Struthio camelus: one gene and its partners. The protein of the gene in region 1 purifies or fractionates together with the protein of each later gene. This does not show direct contact. Links are inferred from orthologs where the notes say so. Each region holds a gene or a part of one and is shown on either strand. Other genes may lie near its edges.

What was found. The genes of interacting proteins can lie anywhere in the genome.
Region 2: the proteins of WDR62 (region 1) and CEP170 purify together in Homo sapiens (affinity purification with mass spectrometry; 3 studies listed by BioGRID and IntAct, with this or other methods). This does not show direct contact. The link is inferred for Struthio camelus from reciprocal best matches to the Homo sapiens genes WDR62 and CEP170.
Region 3: the proteins of WDR62 (region 1) and MAPK8 purify together in Homo sapiens (affinity purification with mass spectrometry; 5 studies listed by BioGRID and IntAct, counting the BioPlex papers as one, with this or other methods). This does not show direct contact. The link is inferred for Struthio camelus from reciprocal best matches to the Homo sapiens genes WDR62 and MAPK8.

The regions. Positions count from the first base shown.
Region 1 is NC_090957.1:1,836,805-1,844,740, reverse strand, and holds the start of WDR62 (WD repeat-containing protein 62), read right to left. Parts: upstream 3,007-7,936; 5' UTR 2,992-3,006; coding exon 2,802-2,991; intron 1,833-2,801; coding exon 1,741-1,832; intron 1,537-1,740; exon of another isoform or gene 1,400-1,536; intron 1,356-1,399; coding exon 1,293-1,355; intron 1,200-1,292; exon of another isoform or gene 1,098-1,199; intron 972-1,097; coding exon 914-971; intron 625-913; coding exon 392-624; intron 44-391; coding exon 1-43. Other genes in the region: THAP8 (THAP domain-containing protein 8), read left to right, coding at 3,212-3,408, 4,088-4,448, 5,640-5,756. UniProt on the Homo sapiens protein: Required for cerebral cortical development. Plays a role in neuronal proliferation and migration.
Region 2 is NC_090944.1:98,413,057-98,420,280, forward strand, and holds the start of CEP170 (centrosomal protein of 170 kDa), read right to left. Parts: upstream 3,006-7,224; 5' UTR 2,804-3,005; intron 1-2,803. Other genes in the region: SDCCAG8 (serologically defined colon cancer antigen 8), read left to right, coding at 3,780-3,846.
Region 3 is NC_090948.1:21,904,715-21,911,836, forward strand, and holds the start of MAPK8 (mitogen-activated protein kinase 8), read right to left. Parts: upstream 3,006-7,122; 5' UTR 2,848-3,005; intron 2,797-2,847; exon of another isoform or gene 2,734-2,796; intron 2,521-2,733; exon of another isoform or gene 2,389-2,520; intron 2,191-2,388; exon of another isoform or gene 2,172-2,190; intron 1,312-2,171; 5' UTR 1,230-1,311; intron 1-1,229. UniProt on the Homo sapiens protein: Serine/threonine-protein kinase involved in various processes such as cell proliferation, differentiation, migration, transformation and programmed cell death.

The sequences.
Region 1 (7,936 bases):
TGACCTTACAGGACACCTTGTTGGATGCCACCAGAGAATCCTTCTGCTCAGAAAGAAGCAAACAGCCCCCAGCGGCTCGTCGACGAGACAAGATAATAACGGCCGACGTTGCGATCTTGCTGCCGAGCCGCTGCCTCTAGCCGCCCCCAGGAACGTCACGAGGCAAAGAGATCGGAAAGGGCTATTCTGCCCCAATTTGGGGAGGGGGTGATAGCGGTGTTTCGGCGAGAGTTCACGAGGCGGTTCAGCCGCAGCGAGCCGGCTCGGTTTAACGGGCGATTTGCCAATCGAGCTGAGTTTGGCCGGGGTCGACCCGCGCGCTTAAACGCCTCCAGGGAGGAAGCCCGAACCGAAGGCGACGAGGCCAAGTTCCCGGCTTTCCGGCGCTCACCTTCCAGTCCCACACGTTGACGATCATGTCGTGCTGGTAGCCCACCGACACCAGGTACTTGGCGTTGGGCGAGAAAGCCACGCAGGCCACGCCGTGCTTGTGGCCGTGCAGCTCGGAGAGCTGCGTCCGCTCCTCGACGTCCCACACGCGCACGGCCGGCCGGTGCCCGTTCTGCGAGAGGAGCCGGGGCGGCAGCAGGCTTTCGCGTTTTGCCAGCGCCGCTCCCGCCCCCCCTTCCAAAAAAAAGGGGCTGTCTGACATTTTCCAGCCCGTTTTCGATCCCCCTCCTCCCCATCCGCTGCGCTAGCCAGGCGCGTAGTTCACAGCTGACTGCTATGAGCAGCGTTATCATGCCGACTGACCGGGATCCCCAGTGCCCAAGGCTGGAAACGGGCCGGAAAACACACAAAAAAAAGCTGGAGGAATATTCTTGGCTACTCTGTGCTGCTCGTAAGGGATGTTTACCAGCGCTGGGCAATTAAAAACGGGCAAACGGCATGATTACAAACGAGTCAGACTCACCTCTCCGGTCACAATAAGCTTCCCGTCGGGGGAAAAGGCCAAAGCACTCAGGGTTTTCCTGCAAAAAGATGAGGGTTTTTAAGAACTGGGCTACAGAGAGCCACGCCAGAGGGCAAACTAACGTTTCCTTGCGTCGAACGTGACGTTAAAGCAGAAAAAGAAAAAAAAAAAAGCTTTAAGCTACCCAGATACGGTTCCCAAAAGTCAACCGTCAGCGCGGTCCGCCTTCCCAAGCCCGTTTGAGCAGGTAGAAAACGGCCCGGCGCGCGCCGGAGGAGCGCGCTTTGCCCCGACGCGACCTGAACGCAAACGTCGCCGCTTTCCAAACCTCCCTCCGAGCCCGCTGGGAGGCTGAGGGTAGATAAAGTCGCCCCGAGACCTGGAAGCGTTCAGGATGTGTCTCTGTTTGTTCTTTCGGGGATTTAAGATGACAACGACGCATCTGGAAAAGAAAAAACAAAGGCAAAAGAGAGATCGAGGGCGTACCGGTAGCCGTTTTCCTCGATCGCGGCTTCGGAGGAACGAAGGGGGTTTTAAGGGAGGACGAGAGAGACCGCCGAGAGCTTTAAAGCCTTCCCGTAAAAGCGTTTTTGCAGGAAACGGCAACCTGCCGCGTTTTAAACTCGGAGAAGCCAAAGGTTTAGTGCTGGCACCAAACCGGGATGCGGTTTTGAGGTCAGTTAAGGCGTTTCCGGGCGGCAACGGCAAATAACGCCGTTCGACCAAGCCGGCTTCGGCGAGAGCGAGCCGAAGGGGTTTTCCCCCCCCCCGCTGTTTGCCGGGGGCTGCCGGATCATTTGGGACCAAGGGGGACGAGAAGCGCTTACCCCGCCGGATAGGCGATCTGCCCGGTGGTGGGGTCGCAGGCCAGCGCGCTGCTGCTTTGGGTGGTTATTCCCAGCACTCGCTCGAGCATAACCTGGGGGGGGGGGGGAGAAAAAACCCCCAAAATCCCCCAAATCGGAAGTCGAGGGAAAGCCACGAGGATGCAGGGGGACTCCTTAGTCCCCCCACTAAGGGGACCCCCAAGCCCCGCCCCCTCTACAAGCCCCACCCCCACCACCCCAATCCCCATGGAGACCCCCAAGCCCCACCCCTTCTACAAGCCCCGCCCCTCCACCCCAATCCCCATGGGGACCCCAAGCCCGACACCCTCTACAAGCCCCGCCCCTCCACCCCAATCCCCATGGAGACCCTGAAGCCCCGCCCCCTCTACAAGCCCCACCCCTCCACCCCAATCCCCATGGAGACCCCGAAGCCCCACCCCTTCTACAAGCCCCACCCCACCACCCCAATCCCCATGGGGACCCCAAGCCCCGCACCCTCTACAAGCCCCACCTCCATCACCCCAATCCCCATGGGGACCCCAAGCCCCGCCCCCTCTACAAGCCCCACCTCCATCACCCCAATCCCCATGGGGACCCCAAGCCCCGCCCCCTCTACAAGCCCCACCTCCATCACCCCAATCCCCATGGGGACCCCAAGCCCCGCCCCCTCTACAAGCCCCACCTCCATCACTCCAATCCCCATGGGGACCCCAAGCCCCGCCCCCTCTACAAGCCCCGCCTCCATCACCCCAATCCCCATGGGGACCCCAAGCCCCGCCCCCTCTACAAGCCCCGCCTCCATCACCCCAATCCCCATGGGGACCCCAAGCCTTGCCCCCAAGCCCCTCCCCCACCACAATCCCCACGGGGACCTCCAAGCCCCGCCCCCTTTCAAGCCCCACCCCCACCACCCCAATCCCTATGGGCCCCCCAAGCCCCGCCCCATGGGGGGTCCCCGCTCCCCCCAAAGCCCCGCCCCAACACCCCTAGGCCCCGCCCCCAAGCCCCCCACAGGCCCCGCCCCCCGCCAACGGCCGCCCCCTCCCTTCCCTTCGCCTCACCGCGTCTTCCGGACCCTGGTGCCGCGACCGCCGCCGGAGGGTGAAGAGAGGCGGCGAGTCGGTGCCGGCCCGGCCGGGAACGGGGCCGGGACCGGGCCCGGGACCGCCGGCTCCCGCCATGGCTCCGGGCCGCCGCCGCCGCCCGCCGCAGCTCCGAACTGCGCGCGGCCAGCCGGCGTCCCCACCCCATTGGCCCCCGCCCACGCCGCTCAGCGGCTCGACCAATAGGAGAGCGGGGCGCCGCCCGCTCCGCCCCCTTGTCAATCAGCGCGGGGCTCGGCCAATAGGCGGCGCCGCTGCGGAGGAGGGGGTGGGGAAGCCGTGTTTATGTCCCCGCCCCGCCTCGGCTCCGGCGTGCAGGCCGCGTTGCTATGGCGGCGCCCCGCCCCTCCCCGCCTGCGGCAGCGCGCATGCGCACCGGGGAAGGGGCGTGGCGTGCGTGCGTGCGCGCTGACGCAGCGCGGCGGCGCGTCACGTGGGCGGCGGCGGCGGCGGTGGTGGTGGCCGAGTGGTGCCGGGCCCCGAGCTGCCCCAGCGCCCCCGGCCCGGCCCGGCGCCTCCTGCCGCCGCCTCCTGCCGCCGCCGCCGCCCCCCCCTCCGCGAGTCGGTACCGCCGCCCCGCCCGGCAGGCGCTTCCGGGTCTTGGCGGCCGGGGGCTGACGTCAGGGCACGTCACGGGCCGCGCCGTGACGTCACGCGGCGGGGGTGGGTGGGGGGGGTGGTGCCGTGTCCTGGGCCCGGGCAGAGGTCGCGTGGGGCTGGGAGGGGGGAGCGGGAGGGGCTGGGAGCCCCCCGGGGTGGGGGAGGGGCCCCCGGGGTGGGGGAGGGGCTGGGAGCCCCTCGGGGTGGGGGGGAATCCTCAGGGTGGGGGAGGGGTCGGGAGCACCCCAGGGTGGGGGAGGGGAACCCCCCAGGGTGGGGGAGGGGCCAAGAGGGGGAGGAGCCAGGAGCCCCTCGGGGTGGGGGGAGGGGAGCCCCGGGGTGGGGGAGGGGCGGGAGCCCCCTGGAGTGGGGGAGGGGAACTCCCAGGGTGGGGGAAGGGTCGGGGAGCACCCAGGGTGGGGGAGGGGCCAAGAGGGGGAGGAGCCAGAAGCCCCTCGGGGTAGGGGGGAGGGGAACCCCCAGGGTGGGGTGGGGAGCACCCCAGGATGGGGGAGGGGCCAAGAGCACCCCGGGGTGGTGGTGGGGGGGAGCTGCTGGGGGGGGGGGGAGGGGAACCCCGGGATGGAGGAGGCCTTGGCCTCCCCCCTCCCCTCCCCCACCGACAGCTCCGGCCCCTCGCGCAGATTCGGGACGTCGGTTCGCGCTGACCCCGCGCCGCAGAGCCACGGGGAGGGGGCGATGCCGCCGGACCCCCCGCCGGAGCCCCCCAACTCGGCCGTGACCGCCTGCGACTCGCCGCCGCCGCCTCCTTCCCGGAGCGTCCGGCTCCCTCCTCCTCCTCCTCCCGCCGCCGCCGGGGGCTCCGCGGCCGAGCTGAGCACCGAGCAGCTCGTCGGCCTGGTGCTGCTGCTGCAGAGGAAGGTGAAGGGGCTGCAGCAGCGGCGCCGGCGCCACTGCGCCCGCCTGGAGGCCATGGAGAGCCTGGTGCAGCGGCTGCGCGCCCACAGCCTCCCCGCCCGGCGCGGGCTCGGGCTCCTGCCGCTGGTGGGTGGCGCCGCCGCGAATTTCGGGACCTCCTCCTCTCCGGCCCCTACGTGCTCTGTAGTCGCTGGAGCCCCTATAGCTCCTCTCTGGCCCCTACGTGCTCTGTAGTCGCTGGAGCCCCTATAGCTCCTCTCCGGCCCCTATAGCTCCTCTCCGGCCCCTATGTGCTCTGTAGTCGCTGGAGCCCCTATAGCTCCTCTCTGGCCCCTACGTGTTCTGTAGTCGCTGGAGCCCCTATAGCTCCTCTCTGGCCCCTACGTGCTCTGTAGTCGCTGGAGCCCCTATAGCTCCTCTCTGGCCCCTACATGTTCTGTAGTCGCTGGAGCCCCTATAGCTCCTCTCTGGCCCCTATAGCTCCTCTCCGGTCCCTACATGTTCTGTAGTCGCTGGAGCCCCTATAGCTCCTCTCTGGCCCCTACGTGTTCTGTAGTCGCTGGAGCCCCTATAGCTCCTCTCCGGCCCCTATAGCTCCTCTCCGGCCCCTACGTGCTCTGTGGTCACTGGAGCCCCTATAGCTCCTCTCCGGCCCCTACGTGCTCTGTAGTCGCTGGAGCCCCTATAGCTCCTCTGTGGCCCCTCTAGGCCCTCTCCAGTCCCTATCGCTTCTATAGCTCCTCTCCAGCCCCTATAGCTCCCCTCCGGCCCCTATATGCTCTGTGGTCACTGGAGCCCCTATAGCTCCTCTCTGGCACCCCTAGCTGCTCTAGCCCCTATCGCTCCTATAGCTCCTCTCCAGCCCCTATAGCTCCCCTCCAGCCCCTCTAGCCCTTCTAGCTCTTCTCCAGCCCCTATCGCTCCTATAGCTCCCCTATAGCCTTTGTCCAGCCCCTGTAGCCCCTATAGCCCTTCTCTAGCACCTATAGCCCCCGCAGCCCCTATAGCTCCCCTATAGCCCCTCTGCAGCCCCTATAGCGCCGCCCTTCCCCCGGGCGGGCCGCGCGTAGGCCGTGGCCGAGCCCAGCCCCGGCGGCCGCGGCCCTGCAGGTACCGGCGGCGCGGAGCGTCGCGACCCCCCCGGGACCCCCGCGGGACCCCCAAACCCCCCCCCCCACCCCGGGACGCCTCGTCCTGGGCCCGGCGGTCTCGGCTCGCCGCCGTCGCAGCGCTTTCACCCCCCCCCCCCCCAGCCCCGAATCTGTTCTTCCGCCCCGCGGCGGCTCCCCGTTTCCTCCCCGTTTCCTCGTCCTCCAGGCCTGCCTACAGCCGGAGCCCGGCAACACCGTGACCGTCGTCTGCCGGGACGAGGAGCCGGCGGTGCCGTACGCCGCGCCGCAAACCGCCGCCGTCCCGCGCCCGGAGGAGCCGTGAGCGGAGCCGCCGGCCGGGGCCTCGAGCTCGCGGCACAACGCGCCGCCGCGCCGGGTGACAACCCCCGGGGTGACAACCGCCGCCTCGAGCTCCGCGAGCCGGCGCGTTCGCCACGGAGGTTGGGGGGGGGGGGTTGGCTTCCCCCCCCCCCGCCCCGGGAATCGCCCCGCGGAAGGCGGTTTCGGGGAGGAGGGGGGGGCGCGGAGGGGACCGAAGCGGTGGCTGGGTGGTGGCCGTGCCCCCCCCCCCCACACCTTTGGGTGCTGACGGTGACGAGCCCTCGTGCCCCACCGGTGATTGGGGTGGGGGGGCACCTTATTTTTTTTTAATTTCGGGTTTATTTTGTGACACGGGGCGGCGGGATTGTCGATCGCTTTAATAAAGGCTGAACGGAGACAAAAGTGATGGCGGCGGCGGGGGGTGGTCTGTGACGCTCGACCCTCAGGGTGGGGGGGGGACCCCGGGGTGGGGGTCGGCCCTCGGAGGTCCCCTTGGGTGGGGGTCGGCCCTGGGGCCACCCCTGGGTGGCGGCTGGTTGTCTGCTGACCCTGCGCTCTGAGCCCTGGGCTGCAGCTGTCAGTAGGTTCCAGAGTTAACGGAGGATTGTTGGCAGCGGGGAAAGAAGGTGGCAGCCCTTGGGGCGAGTCTGTGCTGCCAGTTCCCTATAGATACAGGAAGGGGCCCTTCGCCCTCCCTATAGTCTCTGCCCCTATAGGCCCCCCCATAATCCCCTCTCTGCTCTCTTAGCCCCTCCTGCAGCCCCCTATAGCCCCCTTATAGCATCTCTCCGACCCATTGAGCCCCCACAGCCCCTCCAGCTCCCTATAGCAGCCTTCCAGCCTCCGTATGGCTCCTCTCACTTCTTTGCACCCTATAGGCCCCTGTAGCCCTCTTTAGGCCCCTTCCGCCACCCCCTGTTGCCCCCCACGTGCCCCCTATAGCACCCTATACCGCTTCGAGCGCCGTTCCACCCCTTGTAACCTCCCCCAAAGCCCGCTTCCCGTCTCTGTCCTCACCTATAGCCCCCAAAGCCCCCTATAGTCCCCATAAACCTCTCCCCAGCACCCTCGGCCCCCTATAGCGCTCACTACCTGCTGTAGCTGCCCTATAGCTGCTCTCCAGCCGCTGCAGTGCCTCCGCAGCTCCCTATAGCCCCTCTCTGTACCCCCAGTAGCTGCACTGCAGCCCCTATAGACCGCTATAGCCCCTCTCTGGCCCTTGATTACCCCCTCCCCAGGCCTCTATAGCTGCTCCCCAGCCCCTATAGCCTCTTCAAACGTTATGACTCCCCCCGCCATAGCTCTCTACACCCTCTTCCCAGCCTTCATAGCCCCCGATGGCCCCCTATAGCCCCTCCCCAACCTTTAAAACCCACCGTGGAGGCCCTAGAGCCCCTCTGCAGCCTTTATAACCCCCCACAATCCCCTATAGCTGCTCTCCAACCCCTATTGCCCCTCTCCAGCCTTTATGACACTACCATAGCCCCCTATAGCCGCTCTCCTGCCACTATAGCCCCTCTACAGCTTTTATACCCCCCATAACCCTCTATAGCCACTCTCCAGCCCCTATAGCTCCTCTACAGCCTTTATGACGCTTCCCTAGCCCCCTATAGCTGCACCGCAGCCCCTATAGTGCCTCTCCAGCTTTTATAGCCCCCGATTTCCTTCTAGAGCTGCTCTGCAGCCCCTATAGCCCCACTGCAGCCCCTATAGCTCCCCTGCGGCACCTCCCTGGCTCCCAGAGCCTCTGTAGCCCCTCTAACCCCTATAGATCCTCCAGCCCCTATAGCCCCTCCAGCTGCTATAGCCCCTGCAGGCCGTGTAGCCTCACTCCAGCCCCTATAGCCCCTGTAGCCTCTGCAGCCCCAATAGCCCCTCCAGCACCTATAATCCCTTTAGCCCCTACGGCCCTTCCAGCCGCTGTCCAGCTGCTATAGCCCCTACACTCCCTGTAGCCCCCTATAGCCCCCTGCAGTTCTTATATACCCTACAGCTGCTCTAGTCCCTCTAGCCCCTCTCCAGCCCCTATAGCCCCTGTCGCCCCAGTGACCCCCATAGCCCCTCTGCAGTCTCTGCAGCCCCTGTAGCCCCTCCAGCCCCTGTAGCCCCCGTAGCACCTACAGCCTCTAGTGCCCCTCTCCAGCCCCTATATACTCTATAGCCACTGCAGCACCTATAGCC
Region 2 (7,224 bases), on another chromosome or scaffold:
TTTCTTTTCTCAAATTCCAAACAGTCTCCTGGTCGCTACCATACCAGTTTTTACTAATCATACACCAAGTTCTTCAAAGAGGGGGAAGTGCATGCCATTGTTGTTGGTTTTTTTTTTTTGTTAAAAAAAAAAACACCCCACAAATGTTAGAAGCAAATACAAGAATTTCTACAAGTTCTGATATTTGAATATATTCAATGCCTGTCTCCTCTGTTAAGTTTTTCTTAAGCAAAAGTAAAATTTCCACAGATATCCTTGGCTTCCTGAATAACAAAGTAAAAATAATCTGTTTCACCTCCACTTAATTCTGCTTGCCAAAGCTAAGAAGGACAGCTGCCACAAGGAAATAGTCTTTGTGTAGAGATTCAAGGAGATACTACGATATCAGCTTACATTATTACATTTTACCTGCGTTTGCAAGAACTGGAAATTGTACCTCAAAATCAATTTCTGCAGCTATTCATGGTTTAGGCTTTATTCCAGTTGCTCAAGGAAGCTTCCTAGTTCCCATCTGCAAGTAAACATAGACTTCTCTAGTTCAATTTCAAGAATGCAACTCTTTTCTGGACTGTATGTTATCAAGAGAATTGTTAAAAAATACCTTCCTGCCAGGCCTATTACAGCTTATGAAGCCCAATACAGAACCTATTCTAATTTGCAAAACCCAGCCTGATTTGATACAGGAGGGAGTCACCTGCAGGATAGCCGGCACAGATGTCAAAGAAAATGCAGCACCAAGATAAGGTAAGTTCAGTAACAACTTTCATGTCAAAATACTTCTCTCTAAATGTAGAAAAGGAAATATTTTTATCCGATTCATTACAAATGCCTTTTAGATAGTTCATAAGTTAGAGGGGAAAAAAAAGTCTTATGGCTTGCTTTTGACAAAATTCTGTGTATACTCAGCTATTCTTTTCTCTCCATTTAGGCAGTCTTCCTGACCTCTTTCAGAGAGAAAAGAAAACAAATACGTGTATATAAACTGAAAAGTATTTGGAAAATCAAAAAGGGAAGGGAGATTCTTAAACGTATTTATGTTCAACCTTCCCTCTCAGCCCTTTGTTAAGTAAAGTTTAGGATCTTTCATACCTACAGAGCTCAGTTCCAGTAAGACATACTCCTCAACATCTGGACAGAAAATAATTCCCAGAGGAAATTAATCATAGGAAATCACAGCATATTTAATCACATACTAGTTCAGTTTACAAAAATCGTCCTGTCCCACACACCATTTTTCACTGTCACAAAGCCTTGAACAGCACTCCATGGCGGGGGGGGGGGTTCATCATAGCGCCAGGAACAGGCTTTATTCTTTCAAATAAATCAAATACTTCATGAACACCTTTGCTTTCACTGAGAAGAAAATAATTTCTTCAAAGGGCTGATCAGCGCGTGCTATCTGTAACCTCTTATCTAGGTTGTCACAAGAACGCAACTCTTATCTTCAATTCATCAGCACAGCAACTACATCTCCATTTTTTCATAAAACAGTAAGAACAGATGGAGTAATTGTCGGCTCATCTTAAAAACGTTTAAAATAACGTCTAAAAGGCTGGCAACTAGCACAACACCATCAACACTCTTGTCACCGCGAGCTCCTCCCGGCTCGTATACATAATTATGACACCGAACGGCCATCATCCGCGCTTCATCCAGCTGGCGTTTCTCCAGCCGGGCTTGCGAGAGATGCACGGTCACCTCTGCCTGCTGCCGGTGAACGCCAAACGCGCCCAAAAGCGATCTGGAGGAGGCTACTCCTTCCCCCCGCCCGCAGGGCCGGCGGCATCCGGCCGCGGCGGCGTGTGCGCGGGCGGCCAGGGCGGAGGGCGCCGCCGCCGAGCCGCCCCGAAGCCAGCTTCCTCCTCTACCAAACGCTTTATATTTGAAAACCGCCATCGGGTTTTTGTTAGATCCGTAACCCGTTCGTTTCCAGGCCAAAGAGACAAAAGTGAGCCCAGCACTTTTCTTCCACCACCAGGGAGAGGCGGAGATTGGGGGGGGGGGGAAGGTTATTCTACGTTTCCTGCGGGAAGAGTCTCAAGAATGGAAAGATCGAGCATTCGGGAGAGTGTTATGGAACGTAAAAGACCCTCTTTGTTGGGTGGAAACACACAGTAAGAGAGATGGCAAAACCAACAGATCTTCTCCATCATCCCGCTCCAACATCGTTATTTCAAGGGGGCGGCGGCGGGAACACTGCATGTCAAACGAACAGTTATCGGTCATTTTTAAATCTGGAGAAACACACCCTCTCCAGCCACGGGGCAGTTTTTGAAATAGGAGTGACCGGAATAAATAAATAAATAAATGAACAAACAAACAGCTGAAAAGGTCTCCTCGAGACGCGGAAATCCGCCGGCGGGGGAGGGAGGGAGGCAGCCTGAAGAGCCGCGGTGCCCGCAGCCGGCCGGGTGGGCTGGGTGTGTGCCGGCGGCGGGGGCGGCCGGCCGGGCCCCACGGCGGCGGCGGGGCGGCAACGGGCCGGCGGCTGCGGGCACCGGCATCCGGCGGCACCATCTGCATCCAATCTGCGCCGCTCCCCTACGGGCTCGGCGCGGCGGCAGCCCCCCGCCGGCCCCGCCGCGCTGGCGAGGGGGTGGGGGACCGCAGCGGGCACGACGGGGAGGAGGAGGAGGGGGGGGCCGTCCGCTACCGCCCTTCGGCCGGGCGCAGCCCCCCGGCGCGGCGCCTGACACAATAGGCAGCGGGCGGATGGCGGGCAAGCGGCGCGACCCCGGCCCCCCTCCGGCACGGCTCGCACCCGACCCGCAGCCAGGGCGGCAGCACCCCCCTCCCCACTCACCCCTTCTCGGAGGCTCGCCGCGACGGGGAGGGGCCGTCCCTGGTGCCGCCGCAGCCGCCGGTGCTCACTGACCCGGCATCCCCGCGGGGCGGGGGCGGGGCGCTCCGCTCGGTGTCCCTGTAGCAACCGCCCTAACGTTATTCCCTGCACATAGCGGCTAACGGGCAGAGCGGGGCACGGCACTGCGCAGGCGCCGCCCGAACGCACACAATGGGGGGGGGGTGGGGGGAGGCCAGCGCGCAGGCGTCAAGGGACGAGCGGCGCAGCGACCGAGCTGCGCCTGCGCCAGCTTCAGACAATAGGAGGGTGATTGCACTCTCCGCGCCGCCTGGCGGGCGCTCACTGCGCAAGCGCCAGAGTACGCGGTGGCGGGAGGTAAACACAGCTTCCCCCCCCCCCCCGCCCCGTCCCCTCTGGCACGACTGGACCTGCGCTATACCCAGCCACTGCGGACCCGAGAACGTAGGCGGAAGAGCGCCCTTGTGCGCAGGCGCGAACGCGGCCGCAAGCCACAACAAAGAGGAAAGCAGGGTGTGAGATTGCCCACCGCCCGCTGCCGGGTGGGGGAGGTGGGCGGCCAGCAGAGACTACACCTCCCAGGGAGCACCGCGCGCCGCGCCGCCTGCTGGGACTTGTAGTTTCTCTGACGGCCTTGCCTCACGCCGCGTAGCTCGGGGGCGTGGCGGGGCCCGACCGTTGCTACGCTCCGCTCTGGCTGGGGGAGGCCGTTCGCGGGTAGCAACGGACAACGCGGAGGAAGCGGAGCGTGTCCCCCTTGCGCATTGTGGGAGTTGTAGTTCTTCCGGGAGCCTCCGGCGCTTGTGGCGCGCGGGAAAGCGGAGCGGCTCGAACTACCGTTACCGGTCGCCGTTGCGGGGTGCCGGTGTGGCGGGGCATCGCCTGGTGGTTCCCACGCGCTTCCCCTGTAGTGGAGCCCCGCCGGCGGCTGCGGTGTCCGGCAGGGACGGGTCTCCTCATGCGGGCGCCCCGGGGGGAGCCCGCCCTGCAAGAGTCCCTGGAGCGGTACCAGAGGCGCCTCCGAGGTGAGCGGGGGCCGCCGCGGCAGGGCGGGGGGGTCCCGGCCCGGCTCGGCTGGGGCAGCGCCGTGCCGTGCTCTTGGCGTACTTGTGGCAGGAGCCGAGTTAGCTCTTCTGGTGCTCCTTAAACCGGACCTCTGGCTAGAGCAACATTATATCGGAGTGAGAATTTGTTTTCCCTGTAAAAGCGCATCTGTACAACGGCCTGACTCGAACTTGTGAGAACATGTCAGCCGTGCTCGTATCCCCCCCCTTCCCCCGCCTTTTATTTAATCAGTGCGCTTTAACCCCAAATTAGACCTACAGCCCGTGTGCTTCGAGCTTCTGCAGTTTGAAGCCAATTAAAGTGTGACTGGCTAGCTTGTTGTTGTTCTCTTCTTCCCAAAAGTGCTTTGGGGAGTTGGAACTTCTATAAAAATCAGAACGAACCTAAAAATACAGTGTCTGGCAAACTATAAGGTAGGGTCATGTGATTACATGTGTGATTGCATTAGTTCTCTTTAACAAGTTGTAGTGCCCCTGGTGCTGCTTGACCATGAGCACTCTGCTGGTCCACTGCAACAAAAATAGTCTTGGTTTATTTTGCGTTGCAACAGACTGCTAAAGTAAACGGTCAGATATCACACCTTAAATATAGTTAATACTAGCCGAAGTAGTTGTCTGATCATAACCTTGGCGTTAATGGGGCTGCTGCCTGTTTTGTGTGCTTTTCTTTGATTTGTGCACAGATCTTAGCTTTCACTGAAGTGTAAAATTCTAGTCATAAAGAAGAGGCAGAAAAATGATTCTTATGAGCGTGATCATTCCCACATCATAAACTGTATTCATACCTGCCTTCTTATCCAAGAAGCACTATATATGCAGAGAACATTTTTCCCCTCTTTGCTATGACAGCTGAGCGTTACAAGCTTTCAGACTACCTCTGACTGGTAAAAGTATGTAACCAAATCCTGAAGAAAGCCAAAAGATAATCTGTGGATATGCCACCCTGCTTAGCATTAAAAATATTGTGTTCCAGATCAACACATCCTGAATTCATGTTTTATTAAACAGCATTTAAAGATAATGAAAATAAATCTAATTTGTTTTCTGATGCTAGTGAATTACATGAACAATTGCAATATAGGAAACATTATTGCAAGAAGATAAAACAATGGAAATATTTTTTAATAGCCACTTGATACTTTATTCTTAGCAAATACTTCACCTTACTCTCTCAAAATAGCATCAGTTGTTTGTACTGAGGATGGATCTTGCTTTGTTCCAGAAGATACAGCTTTGAAGAATTGTCTCTAGTTACTTTTCCAGGAGTATAAATGGGTCATACAGATGTTGCTTGGAAGCTACAGATAGAACAGTTAGAAGTACAGAGATTGGAACATGTATTGAAATGTGTAGAGTCCCTTTGTGCTATGTAAAAATGATGAGTAAAAGTTATGACTTGCCATGCATAGGCACAGTTAATCTTTGAACTTTATCACATTTCCTTTTTCTGTGGGCCAGTATGGAAAACCACTGGATAATTTTCAAATGCTCAGTTTGGACTGAGGCAAAGGGTTTTTGCTCTGACTTTTTATTGTTCCTATGATATGACTGATTTTCTGTCAAATTCTTTGAGGATTAAACTCTGCATATAATTAGAGTCCATTCCTTTAGACTGTGATGAAACCAGATGGACTGATTATTCAGGTTTTTTAAAAAAAACTACAGTCGAACAACTACAGTATTGCTGCTTAAAAAAATCATCTGGTGGCATAATGTCTCTGCTTTATTACAGAGTACTGTCATGCATAGAGGGATAGCTTTGTTTAGAAAGGCCGCGCTTGGGGTTTTTGTTTTCTTTTGTTCATTTCTCCTGCATTACTAGAGGCATAAGTACAAGCTGAAGTAAGTAATGTGCTGAAAATGTGTGGTTTTAACAAGATTTTTGCCTATTTTCAGAGCACTTCTGATTATCTAGAATACTTTTTCTGGATTGTTTACTTGTTTTTATACAGATCTCAGAAGGAGATACATACGCTTTTACTGAAACATCTTCTGAATTGTTGTTCTTGTTCTGTGATAGCCTAGGAGGGTGACCTACCTTTTCATTTTAGTTGCAGGCCAGTCCATGATGGTCTTTTGCATCTCTGGTAAGTCCAAAGGGTTGCATACAGGCAGTGAGAAAGGCAGATTTCCTTTGTTCGTGTTCATATAAGGAGATTTGTTGGTGTCCTTTAGTTCCAGAGTGCCCAGGCAGCGTGCTGTGCTCAGTATCCGTCCTTGTAGTTATGGTCATCCAGCGGTTACGTTTTGCTGCCTGGAGCCCCTACAGGATGTGATGTTCATGGCTTTCTTAGAGACTGACAGCAGTGGAAGCCAAAGGCCTTTGGACTCTAAGCCTATTCAGGCTAATTTCAGGGTGCTCAATATTTCTTTATATAAATGTTTTTTTCTGTGTATGAGTAGCTTGGTAAGGACTTCTTAGTTCATTCCTTTATTCAGACTAGTCTTATTTTGAAAATATTCTTTGTTACATTTTGCAACAGAGTCTGAATATTGTCTTTTCTCTTAGGTCCTTTGTTGTGCATTTTGAGTGATCCAAGGGAATCTCTCTTTTTCTCAACTAGAAAACCTGTTGAGGTGATAGGGGAGTGTCATATTCATATCTTCATAGTTATGTAGCCTTTTGATATATGGAGTTGAAGCATGTCTTTGTACCAAGTTATCTGGATGTTGTCAATGACTTCTTTAACTTTCCTGTGAGTTCAAAGGGCCTTTCTCAAGGATGTTGCATCTTGGCCTGTTTAACTGTGTGCAAGAGTGATATTAAAGCTCCTCATATCAAATGAAGGCATGCATGTATTCTCTTCATACCACTTTCCATTTTTCCTGTTTTTGACTAGATTCCCTTACATTGGATCCATTATGGTTTTTAAATCACTTTGGAACATTTGAGCTTCTGGTGGCTGTTTCCCTTCAGTTTCCGCACCATTCTGGGAAATGTGGACCTCTGCCTTTTCCCATGCGGTATAAAGATAGGACCAACTCCATAGATCCAGGAGTGCTTCTCAGTAGGTGGAGATCAATAGGGTAATATGCAAACATAATCCCAGTGCGGGGAATGTAACATGGATTCCATTATGTTTCTCAGCCAACCTCTTTGTTTCTCAGTGGTGTACAATTTTTAACTCCTTTGACCCGAAAAACATTCTTCACGTCGTTAGCGCTAGCAGTAGTTGATTTACCGAATGTCAGTAAAGATCATTATTACTTCATGAGTTGCCGAACCTAATTCTTTACCCATGTTTCATGCATAATTATGCAGTTTGAGACTTTTCTACAAATTCTTATAATTCCAATCCAGATTCTGCAATTTTAGACAGCATGCCTGCAGCATTAATT
Region 3 (7,122 bases), on another chromosome or scaffold:
CAAAACCAGATTAGCCTAATTTGCAAAAAGTGATACAGCAATGAACATTATATACATACTCACAGAAAACTTTTTTCATGGGGAAGAAAAGGGAAGCTTAAGAAACATCATACCGTACTTTTCAGCAGATTATCAGGAAGGATATCTGTTTTAGTCCAGAATATTGGATCAATCCTCAGAAATGAAGGGCTACACACTTACTTTTTATACATCTTTAAACAACAAGCACTCACATGATTTAGGTAGTTGGGAAAGGAAGAAAAAAAAAACCACCCAAACATACAGTGAACAAATAACCAAATAGTATTATAATCTCAAATACTATCCCATTAACTCATGGTTTAAGAATTAGAACAAGCAACAACCACAACTAACCATGTCAGGTAAGTAGCAGGCAGAAAATAAATAAGTGTTTTGGAGTCTCAACAATGGAATTTATTTGCTAATATTTGCATTACAATTGGCTGATACAGCAACTTATCTAAAGGATTTGCAAAGGAGGTTATACTTGCACTCCTATAAAGCCAGCAAAGGCCTAGCTCTCTAAAGAGAATCATTAAAAGTTAAAGACAACAACCAAGAAAACAACCCATACACAAAGGACAGCTCATCTTCTGCCTAGAATGAGTAGTCCCAAACAGTAGGACACAGGACTGTATTGGATCATCTTTTTAATGTTTCTGACCAAGAAGCCTCCATATGGTATATGGTAAACAGCAAGACACTTCATCTGCTTATAGGAGCCACTGGAGCCAAAAAGCTAGGGAAATTCTGCACTAGAAGACAGAGTTAAAATTGCTTTGTCAGAGTTATGACAAAATGTCTTTGTGCAGTCAACTTTGTGCATCCTCTACAACTCCAAAACTCTTTCCCTTCTCCTAACATACTTTTGCCCTATCTGTCTTGAAAGCAGTTAGTACCTGACAATCAACCTGGAATTTGTCTGGTCCCTGTCCTGGCAGTAGAGATTCTGCAGAACTCAGCAATGGGCGTTTATGTGAAAACCACTGAACATCCAGTCACTTGGGGGGTGGAGGAGGGCAGAGGGACTAGCCTATGCTACAAATCTGAAATCAAGTGAAAAAAAAGACAAGATGGCTGTCCTCGTAGACCGAGATCAAGCATGGGACTGTTAAAAATTCAACATACGTTTCTTAGGTATTACTAAAAGAATTAAGAGTCCCTCTTCATTATACCCCAGGAAAGCTCAGATAAGTCAGTGAACTCACTTTGACAGTAGACTTTAACTAGATTTGGCCCAGTGCGTCTTCAGGCTACAGCTGGAACCATTTGTAGGTTATGCTGATATATCTGCAAATACATAGATAAAGTAAGATGCATTTCAAATACTGTCCCATCCTAGGGGTATATTTGTCTGCACCTCTAAAAGCAAGGCTAGCACTCATGTAAATTGAGAGTCCCCCACTAGTCAGTGTCTCCATGCCTGTAAATAAGACCGAGTTGTGATGTAAGCTTGCAAAATTCTCCTCGCAAAACTCTACATGCACGTGCCCTAGGGCAATTAATACTTTCCTTCCACGAGAAGTATAATACCCTCTATATTTACATTATCAGACAGGCCAAAGCGTGCAGGGTTTCTGGATGATCTGAAAGACTTCAGCAAGCCTGTTCTGCAGAGCGCTTAAATTCAAAAAACACACTACACACCTGAATCTGTTACTGTAACTAGGGGAGAATTAACCGAGTGGGGTTCATATTTGTAGCTTATCAGTCATGCCCAGATCAGGCTTCAGCGATGGCACCACTCCACAGAGAGACACATAAAGAAACAGGCTCTGAGAGCAAAGCCAGACGCTGTTAGCGACACAGAGCAACTAAAGGACAAAACAAATTCTGCAGGCAGGCAGCTCACCCCTTTCACCGGAAACATGAAATTAAAAGGCAAAACAATCGGAAGCGCCGCCAGACGCCCCCCAGCCCCCCTGCGGATTTGGGGCGGTCACGCCGTCCCGGAGGAGCGTTTCTTCCCGAGGAGGCACTTCCACAGCAAGGTCGCGGAGCCGCGCTCCCGCGGGGGGCGGTCCCGGCCCCGCAGGCCAACAGGCCGCCGCGCCGCGCCGCGCCGCCCCCCGCGCCCCCGGGGGAGGAGCCCGCGCCGAGCCCCGGCCCCTCCCGGCCGCCAACAAAGAGCCCCCCGCCCCCCCCGTTACCGGGAGACGCCGGGCGCCGAGCGCGGCCCGGCCCGGCCCGGCCCCGGCGGACACGGGCCTGGAGAGCCCCGCGTCGCCTCAGGGCCGGGGGCGCCCCCGCTGCCACAGGCCGAGCGCCGCCCCCGCCGCGGCCTCGCTCCGAAACGTAAACAAAGAGGCCCGGCCCGGCCGCCGCCGCCTCAGTCCCGCTCCCCGCCGCCGCCGTCGCCGCCACCACCACCTCCTCCTCAGCCCCAGCCAGGCCGCCGCCGCCGCCGCCGTCTCGGCCCCGCTCGCCGCCTCCCGCCGCCTGCTCGGCCGCTGAGTAATGAGCCGGGGCCGGGCCGCGCGCACGCTCCGCCCGCCCGGCGCGGCTGCGGCTGCGCCGGCCCCGCCCACGCCGCGGCCTGTCCGCGCCCGCGGGCTCTGCGGCGCCCCCGCTGCCCGCCCGGCTGCCAGCGCCGGCATCGCCAGGGCTCCTCCGCGCCCGCCCTCCCGCAGCAGCCCCTGTCCCGAATTACGCCTCCCCTCCTGCCGGCACTGCCATAAACAACCGCGTTTCGCAGCTCCATGCCGTCCGCACCCCGCCATCGCGCTCCAGCGGCAGTTTTCCTCGTGCCCCCAGACGCCTTGGGCTGCGCTGGCACCGCCGCGGATCCGGGGCCGCGTCTGCCACGCCCGAGCTTTATCTCCTTACTGGGTGTTGTCATATTTTTTTGTTCCGTAGCTGCTCTGGCAATTTTTCCTCTCAGTCTTCAGTGCTGCGTTGCGAGGCTTTGAGTCATCCCTCGCCATCGTCTTTGGCTCTCGCTGCCTGACGCAAGCAGTCGCTCTTTGGTTTTTCTGCGTTTTCTTTGGTATATCATTGTTTGTTCCCCGCCCCGTGTCACTGCGCAGAGACAAAAGGAGGCCAGGCCTCTGAGCACCTTGAAGCCCTATCAACACGTTTGAAGCAAGCCTTTGTATATTTACGCTGCACAGTACAAAAAAGGCTCTTTGACCGGTTTTTAATTAAAATCTGTCAGTCCGGCACACCAAAATCAGACAGTCCACGTTTAATCGATTTGTTAAACATTTAAGTGTCACGTTTTTGAAGATGCCAAGATCACAGTGAGGTCGTCACTGCTAACAGCTTTTACCCTGCTGCATGGCTGTAACAAGCTTAGATTTTCACACCATAAAGGTGGTGCTTCAGAGTATTACAGTTTGGCCCACTATCCTGGCGCTATTAGGAGCTTCACTTCCATAAAGCTGTTGACCTACTACTCATATGCCTGTTTTAGTGAGGTCTCTGCACTCACGTCCTTAAAATTCTCATTTATTTTAGGCAAGCGTATTTTCAATCCATATCTGAGAAGTCGTTCCATTACAGATCCCTGCAGACAGATACACAGCGTTTCCTTTATACCTACAGGAAAAGCTATCGCTTAGACTCCACCCCAGGAGAGAGGCCCCTCTGCATCCCACCAGGCTCTTAAGCGTCTTTCCAAGAGAGAGGAAATCAAGTTTCTCCCACTTCACCTCTGATTATTTTCATGGGGCAGTCTCTGAGTTGAATTAACTCGTGTTTTGCTTTCAGGCTTTTTCTGGTAGGAGTACGTGAGAATACAGTCAGGTGTTGCATTCCCTTCCGTGTTTATTTGTGCCAAAGGCTGGCAGGAAAGGCAATACAAATCCCTGAAATCCACTGGAGGCAAAAAAATTTAATCTGGTTAGGTCATATCCATCTTCATCAGCAGATGAGACTAGCCCTGCCGATTTTGCCTGAAGCAGACCGTGGCACAGGCACGTGTTTCCTTCTGCTGGCAAGCAGACCTCTCTGGTAGCAACCTTTGCTGCTCTGCGTCTCTGCTGCCAGAAACGGGGGGTGGGGGGGTGACACCACGTTCAGCCAGCACAGTTATTTGCAAGGCAAATTCCTTCCTGCGGCTTTAAGGATCACCTATGTTACTCTTAATCTTTTGGGGAGCTATCGTTCCTAATCGTGCTATTTGAGATAAGACTTCACTGAGACTGGCAAGTTTAAAATGGCGTTTTGCTTATGCTATAGGTTTGTCACATATGTTTTTCACTGGACGTTCAAATTCTCATTGAGATTTTACACGTTACAAAGTTGACACTTTAACAGAGATGTATTTATAAGTGAGTTTTTTAAAACTAGCACTCACAGCCATATGTGCCATCAGCATCTATCGCTAGCTTGTATGCAGAGCTGATAAGCAACAGATAATAATGATGCAGAAATTACACAACAAGAGCAGACCAGTGTTGATGCAAAGCACAATGAAGTAGCATTATATATTTTAATATTACACGTTCCATGGACTCCTACATATTTAAAGATTTTATGAAGGAACACAATAAAAGGAAAATAAGGATTTGATATCATAAATCTGCTACTTACTAGTATATCGCCTTTAAAAAATTAAAGACATTACCGATAGGCTGTAAGGTTCCTGTGCTCTATGCAAAAATTTTAAGACATTGAAATAATGCCTCTCTTAATAAGGACAAAATTTCCCTGATTGTGTGAATAATCTGTTTTTTAAAACTAAGTCCCTAAAAAAAATTTTTTTTTTGAGAATGTTATTTAGCATCACCATAGTGTTGTTTTCAAAACTGCTTTGCAGAAGTATTTTCTTGCAAGCATAATGGCTATGTGCAAATATTGAGTATGCCCGGGTGGAGACTCTTTTCTGGATCGTCCTGACTGATATCCAAAAAGATAAGAAAAGTTAGAAACTACAATACAAAACATCAAGCCCAAGGCTATATAATGTAGTCACTTTTGTCCACAAAACATCCATAGTAAAGAATGATGAATTATTTTTGCACCAAAACGGACTAGGATAATTCACAAAGTAAGTGAATGTACTTCAGTTGAATGGGGCTGCAGTGAGAAGACACAGGGTGGTACCTTCTTAAACCACAACAGCTGTTTAAAAGTAAGTATCTGATTATGCCTACAATCATTCTTAGACAAGTTTCTCTTCCTGAGAAGAGAAATAAGATATTCTAGGTATGTGTTGCAACTGTAAGATAACAACATTTAGATAGGCAGGTAAATAGCATGCTCTGAAAAAAGTTTTTTTTTTTTTTTAAGTTATCTTATTTAAAAACATGTATCTGCAAGAATGGACCTTCTAACATTTCTTTTCTTAAGTCATCTTCAATAGAAGACAAAAATTGCATTTCACTGAACTTCCCAGGCTGAACCACCTGTGCAAACATGCAGTCACTGTAATTCTATCATTTATTTGTTTTAGACATGTATATAAATATCATCATTGCATAGACACCTAGCTACCTTTCAGCACTGAAAGATGCCTTCTGGAAATTAATAAACCATAACCATCTCCTCACCTCACTAATTATCTGGCCAAGAAGAGATCAACAAGAATTGTGGGGAGTCAGGGGGCCCAGTTTTTCCACGCTGAGGCTTGATAAGTCACAGCCAGGATCAACATCCACGCCCTGTTATAAAAACAAGTTGATAAATATTGTTTGCTAAGGGCATTATATTTGGAAACAACCCCCAGACTTTATAACATTTTAGAAAATTCCATAAGTAATACAAATGTTTATGTGAAGTAAACAAAACCGTTTGATAATATCTTTACTTCAACAGTTTATCTTTACCATTGGTTGCAATACAAAAGTTGTATTTCACACTAGAAAATGAAATGGACATTTGCTAGAAACTAGTTACAACCAAAAATTCAATTAACTGGCATATTAAAGCCTGAAAAAAGCATACAAAGAAAATGAATGAAGAATCACACCTTCTAACTGTTGATAAATATAGCAGGTGTTTAAATGTTTCATTTTAATAACCCAGTAGATCAAAAGGAAATTAATAAAAGAAACATTTTACCAGCTGGATTTTTTATTTAACTATGTCTTTAAGAGCAAGATGAAATCAGTGTCAAGTAACTAGTTGGAGGGAACTGCATTCCCCCACTGAGTGGAACTGGAAACAGTCACTAATCAGTAAATGCTGATTTATTGTTCGTTCTGCCTGTTAGCAAATAATCATGACTTAGGATTAAGTTTTTTTAATAGTAATCAAAATCAACTGAACAGTTGCTGGCCTTGGCAAAGGTAGCAGAAGGAAAGCAGCCACCACGGGGCACCATGCAACAGGTTATAACCTTGATCATGAGCACAGGGGCCATGTTCATGCATAAGGTATACTTCAGCTCAGAAAAAGAGACATTTCTGTCTGTGTAGTCAACAGACCATGTGTTCTCTGAAATGGCATTAACACTGTTAACCTCTTCTTTGCTGAGCCTGCAAAGGTCTTTCTGAGTGTAAGTCCATTAACAGTCCATTTATATCAGTAGGGTGTACCAAGTAAATTGGCAGCCAAGTATATACAACCAGTTAGACATACTCAGCTGATCAGAAATTGCTAGTGGAGAAAAGTGTAGTTTAACCATGAAGAGACAGTGTTTATGGTATCACAATGCCTCATATTTCTATACACTGATATTAATACAACATAGGGTGTTTTTTATTTATACTGTCACTCAGCTGAAATTTTGCATGGGCAAGGCTTTCATATAATTTAGATAAAAGTTCTTGAGTTTGGCTTTATATGGTGACAACATCGGAGAGTGGGATCCCTGCGCCAGATTCAGGGCTGGATTCTGGTAACGTATTCTAACTATGTCATAGCCAAGTGTTGCTCTGGTTTCTTTACTAGGGAAATATTGATTATAGGTGTGTGTAACTTTGAGTTGTAGAGTTTAATTCCTAAATCCCCCAAACATACTTCTAATTTTTATCTGTGTCACACTCCTGTCTTCCTAAATTATGTACTTAGATGCCTGATCTCCCTTTCCACTGCGGCTGCTTAATGCTGCACCTTATCAATGAAGCCTCTATACTTGGCTTTCTAAGAATAATTCCAGAACAAAGGGCATTTCTAGGCATTCAGAACAAGACCACAGGGACTTTTATATCGGCTGTT